Linked DNA regions of Diceros bicornis minor. The protein of the gene in region 1 purifies or fractionates together with the protein of each later gene. This does not show direct contact. Links are inferred from orthologs where the notes say so. Each region holds a gene or a part of one and is shown in the gene's direction. Other genes may lie near its edges.

The links.
Region 2: the proteins of FOXM1 (region 1) and MYBL2 purify together in Homo sapiens (affinity purification with western blotting; 3 studies listed by BioGRID and IntAct, with this or other methods). This does not show direct contact. The link is inferred for Diceros bicornis minor from reciprocal best matches to the Homo sapiens genes FOXM1 and MYBL2.

Annotation. Positions count from the first base shown.
Region 1 is NC_080756.1:58,505,237-58,514,051, forward strand, and holds the start of FOXM1 (forkhead box protein M1), read left to right. Parts: upstream 1-4,957; 5' UTR 4,958-5,112; intron 5,113-6,950; 5' UTR 6,951-6,997; coding exon 6,998-7,499; intron 7,500-8,110; coding exon 8,111-8,262; intron 8,263-8,815. Other genes in the region: RHNO1 (RAD9, HUS1, RAD1-interacting nuclear orphan protein 1), read right to left, coding at 557-724. UniProt on the Homo sapiens protein: Transcription factor regulating the expression of cell cycle genes essential for DNA replication and mitosis. Plays a role in the control of cell proliferation. Also plays a role in DNA break repair, participating in the DNA damage checkpoint response.
Region 2 is NC_080758.1:17,298,499-17,306,551, reverse strand, and holds the start of MYBL2 (myb-related protein B), read left to right. Parts: upstream 1-4,582; 5' UTR 4,583-4,763; coding exon 4,764-4,783; intron 4,784-8,053. UniProt on the Homo sapiens protein: Transcription factor involved in the regulation of cell survival, proliferation, and differentiation. Transactivates the expression of the CLU gene.

The DNA of each region.
Region 1 (8,815 bases):
CTTTTCCAAGCAACCCCGACAAGTTACATTTATTAAGCACTCTTAGGCAGAGTTTATGCTTTTGTCTGGCTCTTTTGCTATTCTACTTCCCTGACTTATAGGAGCTATGTTCTCTCTCCAGGGCTTTTAACAAAATATGACATATGCCATTTCTGTGGCTCTTTTTCAAGGTTCAGACTATTAAACAGTAAATAGAGTACCTACCCAAATACTTTACCTCTCACGTGAAGCTCAGGGAACAATCCCATTTTGTACTTGTTCTGCCACTTATCTGGCTTTCTCGCCCAGCTAGTGGGAGGTGAAACTTTGATACTGAACTCTCTCAGAGGAATGTGGCGGGAGACTCCAATTCCAACCACACCATGCCTCAGTTTGAACTTAGAAAAGAAGATATACCAGAGAAGATGGCTGACGATGACAGAAAGAGTATATTATCTCCTTGTCCCTGCCCCCATGAATCTTCTTATTCTTTGGAGGCCCTGGTTCAAGGGGCAGAAGAGTCAGCATTGTGAGAAACCTAACAGAGTAAAGGTCACAGTAAGAATCCATGGCCTACCCAGGAAGTGACGGTGTTGTGGTCAATGGGCTTGCTGGGCACCTGCCTAGTGTAGGTGATGGGAAGCTGTGGAGATCCATAGCGGTGTTTGGGGCTCTCCAGTGGCTGATGGTGGAATAGCAGCTGGGCTTTCTGGCAACTTGGGCGGCGTTTTTTTCTGGGAGGCATCAAGAAGTGAATGAAGAGCAGTTAGTAACCACATGATGCTGGTTGTAGTCAGGTCGGGGGAGTGGCTCCAATTCCAACCCATGCCTGCAGAGAAGAAACAAAAGCTGGGAGAAAGTAATTCTGACGATTCCCCAGCTTTTTCTCATACCCTGCCAGCGAGTTCTACTCTCAACTACCACCCCTACCTCAAGACTGTGGGGAGCACAGCTTCCTATATACAGCGAGTAAAAACACAGTGGTTCACATTCAACAGCATTCGCTCAATGGACATTTATCGAGCAAGTGTTAAGCACCATGCTGGGTGTCGGGAAGTTAAAGATGAATAACCATTTATTCTACGATCATTTATTGAGTGCCAACCACTTGTAGAAACACAGAGGTCAGACTGTCCCTGTCTTCAAAGAGCTGAGAGTCTAGCAGAGGGAGACAGACAATTACAACAATGGGAAGAATGCTTCCACTCACCCCAGGGGAGGCTTTCTAGAGAGGGTGATACCTGACCTGGGTATGGAAGAGCTAGGGAAAGCCAAAAGGCAGGGAGAGCATCCAGGCTGAGGAGCAGCACATACAAAGGCACAGAGACAGGAAGGAACACTGTGAATTCAGGGAATCACAGACTCCATGCAGCTGGACACAGGATACGAAAAGACAAATGGCAAGAATTGAGGCTGGACATGGTGTCAGGGTCAGGTCAGAAAAACCAGGTGTGCTATATGGTTTGGGCTTTAGCCTAAGTAGTCACTGAAGACTTTCAAGCAGAAGGATATGATCACACTTGGATTTTTAAAAATTTTTCAACCTAGATAATTTTGAACACACACCAAAGTGGACTGAATAATATAATGAACCCCCATGTACCTATCACCTAGCTCCAAGAACCATCAACCCATGGCCAATCCTGACCCCTCCAAACCCCTATCCACTTCCCCACCCCTATATTGTTTTGAAGAAAATATGATATTCCCAGTCATTATATCATTCCCATTAACACAACTAATACATATACATATATATACCTTAATATTATTAAATATCCAGAAGTGTTCAAATTTTCAATTGTATCATAAATGGTTTTTTGTTTGTGTTTGTCTTTTAGACAGATTGTCCTGGCAACAGTGTGAAAGGAGAGAACAAGCACCCTGGAAGTAGGAGGACCAGTTTCAGGAGGTAACTGTGTTACCTAAGTGAGAAATGATGGGGCCTAAACCTGGGTTGTCAGTGGAGATGGGAGGCTGGAGACAGAGGCAGGGTCAACAGGACCCACAAAGTGATAAAAAGTCTGAACAAGTGTCCATTGAATCTAGTAACCCGATCAACTTTAGTAAGAGCTTCGTCAATGGAATAGTGGGACAGGAGCCTGAATTCAGTACACAGAGAGCTAAGTGGGAAGCGCAGCTGAGCATCCTGGAAAGCCACACAGCAGGGCAGACTGGTTCCACTATATGTTCATGATTCATTCATTCAGTCAATAACAAAAAAGTAACATACTCTGACTTAGGTCCCTAGGCAGTGGAGATACAGGTAAAGAAAAAAAGGACAAAGTCTCCACCCTCAAGGAACTAACATTTTTAGGGAGAACACAGGTAATAAATATATCTATTTGTTCATTCATTCATTCAACAAATATTTACTGAGTGCCTACTGTGCACTAGGCACTCTTCCAGGTGTTGGAAATATACACCAGACAACAAAACTAAATCCCTGCCCTCATGGCGCTCACATGCTAGTTGGGAAGTGAGAAGAGGAACAGAGAAAAATCAAACAGGATAAGGAGCTGAGTGCTGTTTCAGACAGAGTTGTCATCTGAAAAAAGTGATAGTTGAGCAAAGACCTGAATGAAGAAAGGAGAACAAGGAACAACAGAAAGATGTGAGAGAAGAATATTCCAGGCTGGGAGAATAGTAAGTGCAAAGACCACAAGGTGGGAAGATGTCTGACTTGTTCAAGAAACAGTAAGGTCAGCTTGGCTGAACTGGAGAGTGGTAGGAGATGAGAACCAGTCCATGCGACACAGGGCTTTATAGGCAAGGTTTAGGACCCTGGATTTAATTATTCTTAGTGTGATAGGAAGCCACTGAAAGATTCTGGACACGGAAGTGACGTAACCTGATTTATACTGTTAAAAGATCACTCTAGGCGCTTTGTGAGAAAAGGTGGGTTGGGGAGAGGGGGATGGAGAAAGGAAGCAGGGAACCTGTTAGAAGGCTGCTGCAGGAGCCCAGTGGAGACAGACAGTGTAGCAATGGTTACAGCAGAAGTGCTGAAATTAACCAGCCTCAGATGGACACTGCCTTGTTCAGCAATCCTACCATGTTTCCTTATCAACTCATTTTCCACAAAGATTATCTTATAACTTTTCCACTTTCTTAAAACTTTAGAATTCCCCTTCTCTCTCAACAAACGACCTTACTTCTACTTCACAAAGAATGCAGGAGACATCAAAGGAAATTTTCTCATTTTCCAGAAATCAAACATACAAACCTACATGTATCCTGCACCCATCCGCTTTCTTTCTGCTGTCATTAGAAGTCAGTCCCTTTTGCTATCTAAGGCCTTTCCTTCTGGCTGTGCTTTGGAGCCTTCCTCACTCTATACACCTTTCTTAAGCAATCATCTGCTCACATTTCAATAACCACCTAGAAGTAGGTGACTTAAGTATTTATATACTCAGCTTAGAATTCTCCAAACTCAGGACACATATATCCCACTGCCTACTTGACAGCAACTAGATGTCTCAAGTGCACCTCCAGCTCAACATGTTTAAAGCTGAATTCATGATCATTTCCCCTGCATGCCCTCCACAAAAGTGATCATCTTCCAGGGCCCTTGCTCAGGGAATGGTATCATCATTCATCCAGTTATGTAGCCAGAAACCTTGACATTTCCCTTCCCCCTCTCCCATCCAACTCAACACCAAGCCCTGTCCATATTCCCTCTTAAACGTCTTCAGTAACGCCCCGTTCTTCCCTCTCTCTCTACCTCTGCCGGCCTCCCTCTTCGCCACCCCTCAAGTTCCAACAGTTCTAGCCCGGAGTTTTGCAGTAGCCTAACTGGTCTACCCTAATCCACTCTGGCACCCCCTGCAGAGGGACCTTTCGCCTGCAAATCTGATCTTGACTCACTTCTGCTTAAAATTTTTGAATTTTGAATAAGGACCAAACCCCTCAGTTATGGCTAAGGTCGTGCTTCCTCTGGATCTAGCTTCATGTCACACCATTCAGGTCTCTTAGCTCAACCCCCTCAGCTATTCTTCAGCCTTTGTACACACCAGCTTCCTCCTGCCACCAGCGTTTGCACACGCTATTCCCTTTGCTTTGCGAGTTTCCCTCCCTTCTTTGCATAACGGCGTCCGATCTCAGACCAAGCTTTAGTTCATCAGAAAAGTCTCTCCCGACCTACCAAAAAGTTATCTCTGACCTCTAGCTTATCACGCCACAGCTATAATTCTCCATTTGCTCATCTGATTCTGTGAAAACGTCTGTCTCCTCTCCTCCCATCAGACCGTAGGCTCAGGAGAAAGAACCTCCTCGCCATTGCATCCCAGCGGGGCCGGCACACAGTAGGCGCTCGGCAAAATCCGTGAGTACGTCAATCAACACAGCGCTTCGTTACGCCTAAAAGCCTGGCTGGGGGAGGGGGCAGGTCAGTGCGTGCAGACTCGGAGCCGAGGCAGGGTTCAGGGAGTGGCGTAATTTTTTAAGACGGAGGGAATGTGAACAAGAGTATAAGCTGCCCTCAAAGAACCCTCCGAGTAGTCGGGGGCCCACACGATCGTCAGTCGGAGGTCAACGGAGAAAAGCTCCCAGTGAGGAATCGCCCACGGTAGACTTGAGGGAGGTGGGGAGACGCCGAGGGGGCGGAGAGCGGCGTCGCCTGAGGCGACCCGGGCGGCGACGGAGCCCGGGAGGGAGCAGCACGCCGCCGGCCGCGGGTCCCCGCCGCCCCGCCGCCCCGCCGCGGGAGCCCCGCCGGCGCCGTCCCGGCGCCCCGGCCGCGCCCGCCCTCGTGCCGGCCGCCTCACCCGGCCCCTTACCCGCCGGGGCGCCCCGCCGCTCCGCCCGGCCGCGCCGCGTTCGAGCCCGGAACGCGGAGACAAGGGCCGGCACCGATTGGCGACGCTCCGTCACGTGACCGCAACGCTCCGCCGGCGCCAATTTCAAACAGCGGAACAAACTGAAAGCTCCGGTGCCCGACCCCACCCCCGGCCCCCGGCCCGGGACCCCTCCCCTCCCGGGATCCCCCGGGGTTCCCCACCCCGCCCGCACCGCCGGGGACCCGGCGGGCCCGGCACGAGTCTTGTCCGGGGCCCCGGCGCGGCCCCAGGTTGGAGGAGCCCGGACCCACCCTAGGAGCCATAGCCCAGCGGCGGCGGCGGCTGCAGTCGGGAGGTGAGCCGGCGCGGAGGCACGGAGTCGAGGCCGGGCCTTGGCGGAGGCAGGGAGCAAGGTCTCGGGCGCCGAGGTCAGGGGGTCTAGCAGCAGGGCGCGGGGCAGGAGTGGAGGTCTTGGGGCCACACGGGAAGGAGGTTCTGAGCGAGGGTGCAAATTTTTTCTGCATCTAGCCTCCCAGCCTTGTCCTCACTTCTTTCCCAAAGCACCCCTTGGCCCTCCCTGGAAGTTTGACCTCTGCACCCTGCCCGCAGCCTCGGGAGGGCTGGGTTGGCAGACTGTGGCTAGGTTGAAGATTGAGCTTATTCTGCATTAAATCAAAGACAAACCTGCCCACACACTCCCCTGCTCCCAGGTGCTCTCACCACTATGCAACACTGCCTCCGCTCCACCCTTTTACAGGGCCCTTCTCCTGGTTCTTGAGAATCCTGCAAAGTTTCCCTGGTCAGGATGGGGGTGGGGTCAGAGGAGTCACTCTGGAAGTCTCCTGGGCTAGATAAAGTGTTGGCAATGATAGGAAAGAGGCTGCACGGAGAGTGGAGGGGAAAATTAAGCCGTGGACCAGGAAGATATCTTTTGGGGGTGGGGAGGGAATAATAGTGTCTACTGATTGATGGAGGAAGGGAGGGAGGCCTGAAGAGATATGAAGTGCAAATAAAACTGAGATTTGAAGGTAGAGGAAACCTAGATGTAAAGGAAAGGGAGGAGGCAGAGTGGGGAGGGCCTGTGAACTCTAAGCAGATGGCAAGTGCCATATGAGTGTGACAGTCATTTTTGGGGAGATGGCAGATGTCCTAAAAAAGAGACAGCTCATTCCTCTGTCAAAGTACCTCTAAATGGGATTACACAATTTTACATAGTGGTAGAGTATTTCATGTACCTATTAAAATCAATAAAGCACAATTTTTTTAAAGCTAAAACTATTTTCCTGAACATTACAAAACCGCATTAATAGCATATTGGTGCTAGCACATTCTACTAGTCAGGAGATAGGGATTATAGTCTTGGCTCTGGAAGAGAAATTAAGTACTACAGTAACTAACGTACTTAGAAAGTTAAAATATGAATAAGGACAGGCAAGTACTAAAATGTCACTATATAAGTATTTTGCAAATTGTGAAAGAAAAATGTACTTTTTTTGAATCAATGCAAGGATAATAGCAAAATGTGAAATGAATGGCACCCCTTAGCATTATGCAGTACACAATCTGCCCACTTTACCATGGGCCTTGACAAGAGCAGTTTCCCGTTCATCTGGGGTCTTGTGAACCGGGAGATGATTTCTTCAGCGGTGTGGCACCAGTGCAATAGCACAATCTGCCTTTCTCCTCTCACTCTACGGGCACTGACCCTTTTATTTATAAACTGAGATGATTTAAAAATAGGAAGGCTCTGTCCTAGAATGGATTATGGGATCGGAGTTTTGTCAGGACTCCTAATTACCAAACGTCCTCCTATTCCAGCATTCCTGCCCCTACAGCCACTGCAAGTGACCCGTATTATAGTAGGCAATAATAGAGATTTCTACATTTTTGTAACTGTCCCACTTGTTTCCGTAGCCAAACATTCTGAAGCTTCCAGAAGACCTTTGGCTGTGTTGACCTATATCCAACCCAATCCCACTTTCCCCCTTTGAATTGCTTCTGTTGGCTTCAATTTTAGCTTTCTTTTGTCAGTAGAACTCATCTCCTTTTTGTCTGAGGTGTCCCAGGGAGCATTCACCTGGGCCTGTGGGCTCATGCTTCTGCTCATAGGTAGAGGAATGCATCTCTCTTTAACAGAAGCTTCTTCTCAGCCTAACAAATCTCTGACATCCTGCTTCTCCTTGCACTTCCTAGGGTCTGTGTTTATGATTCTCAATGGAGAGTGAAAGCACAGATTCATAATGAAAACTAGCCCCCGTCGGCCACTGATTCTCAAAAGACGGAGGCTGCCCCTTCCTGTTCAAAATGCCCCAGGTGAAACATCAGAAGCTGAGCCTAAGAAGGCCCCTGCCCAACAAGAGCCTGGTCAAGCGCAGGCCTCCAAGGAGGTGGCAGAGTCCAACTCTTGCAAGTTTCCGGCTGGGATCAAGATTATTAACCACCCCACCATGCCCGACACCCAAGTGGTGGCCGTCCCCAACAATGCCAATATCCAGAGCATCATCACAGCATTGACGGCCAAAGGAAAAGAGAGTGGCAGCAGTGGGCCCAACAAATTCATCCTCATCAGCTGTGGGGGAGCCCCCACTCACCCCCCAGGACCCCAGCCTCAAGCCCAAACCAGCAATGATCCCAACAGGACAAAAGTGATCACCAACACCCTGGGACCAAAGCCTGCAGCTAGGGATGTGAATCTTCCTAGACCACCTGGAGCCCTTCCTGGGCAGAGATGGGAGAGCTGTGGTATGTGGTCTGGCGGGCAAAGGGGTGAGGAACCCAGCCTTTCCTCTCCAGTGGCAAGGACTGCAGTCCGTCAGGTTGCTACTTACAACAGACAGGCGTCTAGCCTGGACTAGGGAAAGGCTTGTCTTTCTTCATCCTGAAACCTTGACCCAGACCCTTTGGGCGCTGTCCAAAGGGTTGCAATTGTAATTTAGCATTTCTATTGCCTTCTTTATATTGGAAAAGGATTTGTTTATTGTTTCTATTTATCCTTCCCATTGACCAAATAAGGAAGTAGGAGTCTTTCTCCATCTTAATAAAGGAGAAAACTGAAGCATGAGGAGGAAAAGTGAATTTCCTTGTGCAGATAGTAACTCTTTTGTAAGGTAGCCTTGACTGATCTCTAGGGTTTAGTGTGGCTCAGATTGAAAGGCAACTGGAACTATGCTCCTGAATTTTTCCTGAATTCCATAATGGGGCAGAATACCCGAGGGCTGCAACAGATTCAGCATGTGTTCTTTTCCCCTAAGGGTAAAGGTATTGGAGAGGTGATCCCCAACCACCAATTTTGATGTGCCTGCCGGGCCTCAGATCAGGCAGCTAAGTGGCATCTTGGATTGTCTCCCCTCTAGCTGGCGGTGAGGCAGCAGGCTGCACTCTCGACAACAGCTTGACCAACATCCAGTGGCTTGGAAAGATGAGCTCTGATGGACTGGGCTCCTGCAGCATCAAGCAAGAGGTGGAGGAGAAGGAGAATCATCACCTGGAGCAGAGTCAGGTTAAGGTGAACTCTTCTGTCACTCACTAGGGAAGTCAGAGCCAGTGCTGGGCGTTTCTAAGAAGGGAAATGGATCAAGTGGCCTGCGGAGCAGAATACCAGAACCAGAATACCAGGTTCTGGTATTAGCACTTCACTTCGTGTGATTCTGTGCAACTTTCGAGCTGGCTTCCTGGCTGGGATCTTTTCTCCCCCATCTGTGAAATTTCCTCGAGGGCAGACTCCTCTGGCTCTCTCTGTATTCCATCAGTACTGAGTTTAGTACATTGCCCTTTATAGGTACTTAGTAGGTATTCAGGAAACCTTGAAGAGGTCTTAGTTTGGAAAGCAACTTGACCTCTAAAGGGGTATCCCACAGTATGAAAGGAATACAGCATTTTTAACAGGATAGTTTTATTAGAAGATATTTGGGGCCGGCCCAGTGGCGTAGCGGTTGAGTTCGCACGCTCCGCTTCAGCGGCCCGGGGTTCGCAGGTTCAGATCCAGGGGGCGGACCTACGCACCGCTTATCAAGCCATGCTGTGGCAGGCGTCCCACATGTAAAGTAGAGGAAGATGGG
Region 2 (8,053 bases), on another chromosome or scaffold:
GTTTTTCACAACCATTGTCACTTTAGATTGGCTCTCCCGCTATAGATTGATTTCCAGTTTCTAGGATTGTGTATAAACGGAATCATACAGTATATACTCTTTGTCTGGCTTCTTTCAACATGATTGAGATTCATATTGTGTCAATAATTCCTTTATATTGCTGAGTAGTATTCCACTGTATGGATATATTTGTTTTATATCTATAATTTCTTTATCCAGTCTCCTATTGATGGACATTTGGGTTGTTTCCAGTTTGGGCCATTACAAATAAAGCTATGTAAAACTCTCTGTGCGGACATATGCATTCATTTTTCTTGGAATGGCTTGGGTCACATGGTAGGTATATATGTTAAATTTTTAAGAAACTGCTGAACTGTTTCCAAAGTGGTTGTACAATTTTGCATTTCCACCAGGAGTATTTGAGAATTCTGATTGCTCCTCATCTTCACCAACATTTGATATGATTAGTCTTTTCAATTTTAGCCTTTCTAGTAGGTGTGTAAATCTCATGGTTTTATTTTGCATTTTCCTAATGACATGGTATTGAGCTTCTTTTCATGTGCTTTTGCCGTTGGATATATTTTGAAGGTAGAGTTTGAGAGCAGAGCCAATAAGATTTGCAGATGGATCAGATAAGTAATGTGAGAGAAGAGTCAAGAATGACCTCTTCATCTCTGGCCAGTCCCTGAGTACTTCTTATATTCCTTCTCCCTGACATGCATTGGCTATTCCCTCTGCCTCAACTGCCATTCCCCACATTGGCCACCTTGCAAATTCCTAAATCACCCAGCTCTGAAGAACATTTAGTGACCCCGCTGGTTGGGCATCCACAACCCCTGTAGTTTACCTTCACCTGTATTGAGCTGATTTTCTGTTTACTCATTGTCTCCCCTATCAGCTGAGGAGCTTCTGGAGAGTATGGATGGTTGGATCATCTCATGACTAGCCCCAGGCTTGAGCCCAGCTTCGATCATTTCAGCGTATTTTCACAAACAGTACTCTCCAAATTTACATTTTAAATTATGGGTGCTTTGCTTCAAGCTACCAGTCCACTGGCTGTGTGATCATGGTAACTTAACATCTTGGTGCCTCAGTTTTCTTATCTTTCAAATGGGGAACCTATTGGTACCTGCCTCACATACAGATGAGCATTAAATGCAAAAGGAATGTGAAGCTCTTAGTATGGTGCCTGGCATATGGTGTCTTCCCCAGGAAAATCCAGCTATTATTATTTTCTGATCTGGATACTTTGCTGATCCTTTTCTGGAACTCAAAGATAGGTCCTTTGCAAAGAGTTATTCATAAAATCTCAATCTTTTGAGAAGTGGGTGGGGAAATTTCTCTGTAGAGGTCTGATTCCTTGAATCAGGTAACCGAATTGCTTTCCCTGCATTGGGATCCCCCCTGTTGTAGACAGTGTCCCATGTCCAGTTGTGGTGCTTGGACTCTCATGCCTGTGGCCATGACTCTGTCCTCTACACTGATGCCCTTGGGAGTGGGGCAGAAGTGTCTGAAAAACATTCTTTTGTTTAAAAATCCCTTTTGATGTTTCACATCTTACAAGATACAGTTCAAACTCGAGCAATCTAAGTCCTTTCAGTTCTAGTCTGTGCCTTCCTAACTCCAGCCCAAATGTTAGCTTTATAATATTTAATTCATTCAATTAAAAAATGTTTAAAACCTCTTCCGTGAGTACCTACAAGGAGCCAAACATTATGGTAAAGATATGAAGCTAAGACTGTGAATGTGGGGCTGTCCCTGTTCTTGAGAGAACAATAAAATTGTGGGTGGAGGGAAGTATGGTGGGAGGACAAGGTTGATAAGGAAGGTGCTCAGTAGGTAGAGGGGAAGACGCCAAGCAGAAGGGCCACATGATCCTAGTTGTCAATTGCTTGTCGTCAATCAGTGTTTGTTTTGTGTCCAGCCTAGTGCTGGGCCCTGAGCATTTAATAAGTAGATTTGATCCTGTCTCCCCAAGTCAGATCCTATCTTGCCCTGAGTGTGGAGCCTGGAGTGGGGCAGATTATGGAATGACCAGAGGACTAGAGCCTCCCTGTCTGAGGAGGGCATGTCCAGGAAGTTTCCCAGTAGAGTGCAGTCTGTATGTTATCGGTCCTGGGCCCAGGGACCACTCCCACCTGTGGCTGCACCCAGGACACTTGGAATCCTCTCTCTAGGGGCTGTCTGTTGGTATGATGATAACTGGAGAAGACACACTTGTGGAGATTACCAGATTCTATCTGGCACCAGGGTGATCTCCCTGCTCCTTGACTCGGAGCACTGACTCCAGGCTTTTTAGACTCTAGTGTATTGCTCAACTGGCCCCAGTTCCAGGTTCCAGGGAGACTCTCCAGCTGCTCCCTGCCTCTTGCCTTGGGCAAATGCCTTGCTGGAGCTGCCAGGTCCTGTCTCCCTCCTGAAATGGGACAAATAATCCATGTGAGAGTGTGTGCTGTGTGCAAAGCAGCTTCCTGGACCTCAAAGGAGAAGCATTAGGGCAGGTGAAGAGTCATAATAATAATAATAATAATAATAACTAAAAGTAATATCATACTTATTATGTGCCAGGGATTGTTCTCAGTGGTTTACACATATTAATTTATTTAATCCCACAACCATTCTACAAAGTAGGTACCAGTATAGTGATTAAGAACATAGACTCTAGAACTAGACAGCCCAGGTTTGAATCCTTGCTTTGCCATTGACAGTACTAGCAGTGTGACCTGTGGGGGAGGCCTGTGTCTGTTTCCCCATCTGCCAAAAGAGGATAATATTAATACTACGTCATAGGGTTGTTATGAGAATTAAATGAAATAAAGTTTACAGAGCATACAGAACAGTGGCTGGAATATAGTGAAAGCTATCTAAGTTTTTGATAAATCTCATTTTTACAGATGAGGAAACTGAGGAACAGAGGAGTTAAGGAATTTGCCTAAGATCACACAACTAGTAAATGATGGAGCTGGGCATAAAACCCCAGGAAGTCTGGCTTCAGAGCCTGCACTCTTAAATATTATGCTCTGACAATGAAGACAGAATGTCCACATGAATTACTTTATGAGAGAAGTAGGTGGGGGAAGCCCTGAATTAATTGATGTGGAAGCTTCTAGCACTTAAGATGTCAGTATTCCTTCTGCTGTGGTAAATGAAGTTTGCAGCAGCTGGCTGGACTGTCCCAGGTGGCCAGCAGTTTCTGGAAGAGGGATCTAAGGCATAAGCAGGGCCTAAGAGGCTGGAGTTCAGCCAGGTCTCTCCAGGCTCCTGTCTCATAGTTCATTCACCTTGTCTCAGCACTCCGCCCAGGGAGCCTGGTGTGGCATGACACTCCGGAGGTGCTTGGTAAATGGCAACTTAGAATGGAGAATCCGGGGCTGCCCGGTGACGCAGCAGTTAGGCGTGCACGCTCCCTTGCATCGGCCTAGGGTTCGCAGGTTCAGAACCCAGGCGCACACCGACATACTGCTTGTCAAGCCCTGCTGTGGCGGCCTCCCATATAAATATGGAGGAAGATGGGCACGGATGTTAGCCCAGGGCCAGTCTTCCTCACCAAAAAAGAGGAGGATTGGCATCAGATGTTAGCTGAGGGCTGATCTTCCTCACCAAAAAAAAAAAAAAAAAGAATGGAAAATCTTTGCCAAGTCTCTAGGAGTTTAAGTATGTGGCAAACTGAATTCAACTCAGCTGTTGAATTCTGGGCCCTGGGGATACTGCAGTGAATTGAGGGGCCACTTGGACCTCAGCCTGCCCATAGTTCAAAGGCGGAAACGCACAAGTCAACAAGCAGATTGCGGGCAGTGGACCCCAGGGATAATTGGGAGGGATGGGCGGGAAGTGTTCCTGGCCCAGGTAATGGCCCAAGCAAAGGCAACAGAAGCTAGCCAGTTTCCTTTGGCTAAGGGCGGGGTGGTGATCTGGCAGAATCCTATCAACCTGATTATGGAGTCTTTTACCCTGAGGGAGAGGAGAGAAGTTTTAAGTCTGGAGAGGCAAGCTCAGGTTTGCATTTTATAAGGCTCCTTCGGGTTGCCAGGAGTGGACCTGAGGAGCGGGAGCCATTGAATTCCACGCTGCAGAGGAAGCAGGGAGACGGTAGGGGTGAGGGATCCGCTTTAGGGTGGGGGCTGTGGAGCCATTGAATTCGAGGCTGCAGAGGAAGCAGGGAGGCGTAGGGGTGAGGGGGCCGCTTTAGGGTGGGGGCCGTAGGGACGAAGAGCGGCTTGGACTAGTGCTGAGGTTTTTGCGCAGGCGGTTTCCCCGGCCTGACTCTCCCATCCTTGCCCCTCACTCCCTTTCCTCAGCCTTTGCCGTGTGGGGCTACTCCAGGGCCGCCCCGGATCCACACTGGGCCTGGGCCGGGCCTCAGTCACCCGGTGGCCAGCTCAGAGCCGCCTCTCCCAGTGCCCCGTCGCACCCCTGGCTCTCCCCGCCCCGGGCTTCAGGGCTCTGGGCCGGCGCGGCGCCCGTCTGCCGGCCCGCAGGCCCCGCCCCGCCCCGCAGGCCCCGCCCCGCGCAGCCCGCCCGCCCGCGCGCCAGGCCCGGGCGGCGCCGACGCGCTTGGCGGGAGATAGAAAAGTGCTTCTGTGCGCGCCGGCGGCGGCTGCAGCTCCTGCGAGAGGCGGCGGGACCTGCGGACACGCTGACGCCTCCCAGCGCGGCCCCGGGGCCCGGAGCGGCCGGAGCAGCGCGCGCCCTGACCCCGGCCCGGCTCCCGCTCCGGGCTCAGCCGGCAGGCGGGCGAGCGCGGCGCGGCCCGGGCCGGGGGGATGTCTCGGCGGACGCGCGGGTGAGCGGGGCCGGGCGGCTGAGGGCCCCTCCCCCTCCGCAGACTCCATCCCCCTCCACCCCGATTCCTGCCCCCCCCCCCATGGTCCCTCCGAGCGGGGCCGGGGGGACGAGTTCTGCGGGAAATGCTGAGCCCTGGGTCGCCTGAGGCAGGGGGCGCTCGCGAAGACGGGGGCCTCTTGGGGACCCCTCGCTCTGCTCCCCGGGCCTGCTGGGCCTCGGAGCCGGGGCGGGCGGGTCTCCTGGGACCCGGGCCAAGCCCTGCATGATGTCATTTTGTCTCCCGCCTAATTGCGGGGTGGGGGTGGAATGGCGGTGTCAGCTAGAAGGGCCTTTACCGGGGAGGGAGGCGACCCCTGGAGAGGGAAACTGATGCTCCAAGTCGCAGTGAGCAGGAGGCCAAAGCCTGAAAGACACTTGTCGTTCAAACCTATTTTGGTTCAGATTTGGCGATTCTCAACGTTTGGGGAAGCACAGAACACCCCAAGTCCTCTCCCCTGCCCTGAGAAGGGTGCTGTGGGGGAGGGGGCCCTTTTGTCCCCCACCACCTGGCTTCCGGGCCCCAGCTCGGTTTAGTTTCAGAGACCTGTCTTCCTGTTCCACGTGAGGAGTTTGGGGCAGCTGGGGTTGAAGGTGAGGGGAAGAGAAACTGATGTGTATCAAGACCACTCTGTGCCAGCAGCCCCTGGGGCCACGGCAGGAACTGTGGTCTCCATTTTACCTATTCCCCCAGAGAATAAGTGGCAGAGTCGAACCTGGAACCAGGTCTGTGGGCTCCGGGTCCCAGTCTTACACCTGTGCGCCTGGGACCTGAGTTCTGGGCTTTTCAGCCAGTCTGGGAGTCAGGGAGGACAAAGGGGGTCCTGTCTTGACCCCTGCCTGGATTCATGCAGCCCAGACAACCCTACACCCGTCTTGAGATGGTGTTTGCCTTCTCAGGCTGAGGATGTAGACCCGAGAAGCACTCATTGCTGGCTTTCCCCAGAGTTCCTCTCAGCGAGGAGACATCTGATCCCTGGGCAGTGGTCAGGGTACCTGGCACAGGGTCTGTCTTCCTCAGGTCACGATTTCCCAGGGCTGCTCGGAGTCCCAGGAGTTTTCTGGTTAGGCACTTGTCAGACCCTGTTGTGACTTTTGATTCAGGAAGTTTTACTCCAGGAAATGACAAAGCCCCAGACAACCCCCAGGTCCTCTGCCACTTCTCCCCTGGGGCTCAGTGGAGGAACCCCCTCCCAGGTGGGGGATAGGTTCTGCACCTGGCACCCCACAGCCCTCAGCTCGATTCTTGGCCACTTGCTGTAGCTCTCCTCTGCACCAGTGCCCCACTTCCCGCTCAGCTTCTGACTCACCCCGCCTGGAGCAGAGCCCAGCACATTGAAGGGCATAGAAAGGGTGTGTTGGACCTACACGTGGTTGCCACCACTGACTTGGCCTCTGCTTTTTCAGCTGTGATTACTTGGTGAAGACTTGAAGGTGCAGGTTTGGAGCCTGGCTCTGTGGACTTGATAAGTGGCATAACCCCTGAGCCTCAGTTTCCTCATCTGTTAAATGGGGATAATGAAAGTGCCTATGAAGTGGTTGGTCAGCACCATGTTGCTGACGGAAGTGTATTATCTCACAGAATTCTCTCAGCTGAGTTGCTTCCCCATTAAATAGAGGATTGGAGCACCAGAGAGTGTACACACGGATACCTTTTCATCCTTGAAAGAACATTTGCTGAGCTTCGATTAGAAGCTGGGTGCTGGAGAACCAAATATCGTTTCTGTCAGAAAGGAGTCTGGGGGCAGTTAATTTTAAAACCCACTTCATTCTGTTATTAGTGTCTTGTAGATGTCTTGCCTCCTACTTTGTGATGGTGGAGGACCCCATGTATGGGCTCGGGAATGACAGGGCAAGGCTGCGTTCCAGCTCCTTCTGTGACTGATGTGTTGCTGGGTTTAGACACCATACTTTCCTTTCCTACTTCTAAAAAATTTACTTTAATTAGTATTTCTTTTCAACTAACAAGCAGCAGCTTTGCATGTTCATTCATTCATTTATTCGTGTATCTGGTCATTCCCTGAGCAAACATATCTTAAGGCCTTTTTGGTGCCACCTCCCATCCTGGCCCAGTGGAGGTGGAGCTGACCTCTATTGAAGATGTCAAGGAGATAGGCAGTTGCAGCCTAAGGGTCTACATTCTGAGACAGGAGGATTTCCAAGGTGCTGTGGGAACACGGGAGTGACTCCAGGAAGGTGCTGAGATCTGGAGAAGGGGAAAGGAGTGTGGACACAAAAGGAAGCCCTCTTCCTTCTTTTGGCACACGGCTTGTGCTTGCCTTGCTTGCTTGGAGATGTGTAGGCTTTTCCCACTTAGAAATACCTGCCTTAGGAACGTACCTGACAGGTGACCTGATGCAGGCCCCACCACGTGGAGTTGGGAGGTTACTAACCTTCCCTCAGCACCTGACATCCCTGAAGATGGATAGTATGATCTCCATTTTTTTTTTTTTTTTTTTACTTGAGGAAGATTGTCCCTGAGCTAACATCTGTGCTCATCTTCCTCTATTTTGTATGTGGGATGCGGCCACAGCATGACTTGATGAGTGGTGTGTAGGTCCGTGCCCGGGATCCTACCTGTGAAACCCCAGCTGCTGAAGTGGAGCACAGGAACTTAACCACTACGCCACCAGGCCGGCCCCATGATCTCCATTTTTGTAACCATTTAAACCTAATAAATATGAGGATTTTGGAGCAACTTGGAAAATTGCCTATTAGAAAATTAAAAACATCGAGAATTCAAAGCTGCTTCTACTCCATAAACTGTCTGTGTGTAGAGAAGGATTGAGAAGGGGGTATGCAAAAACGGGCATAGTTACTGAGATAACGTATTTAAAATAATATTTCTTAAAATCCTTGTGCTTGATGATCACACACATGGTTAGCTCTAATCCTCAAAATATGCAAGTTTAAAAAGTTTTGTTATTGAAAATATTAAATGGGTGCTGGTTTTGAGTCTCATAATATTCTTGATGAAATCTTAACCTCTTTTTTCTTGTAGCTTTTGAAATCATTAGGGTGCTCCTGAAAATAAAAGAATAAAGAAAATAAAAATAGCCCGTGACCCCATTTCATTAAAAAATTAAAAAGAGCGTGGAAATACTTACAGTTTTAAAAGCGGAAAGAGTAAAAGCCTGCCTCCCATAACTTGTCCCTAGAGGTGACTGGCCGTTGCCCACACTGTCTGTCCATCATGTAGCAAGGACGTGTGGAGACACATGTACTTGACTTT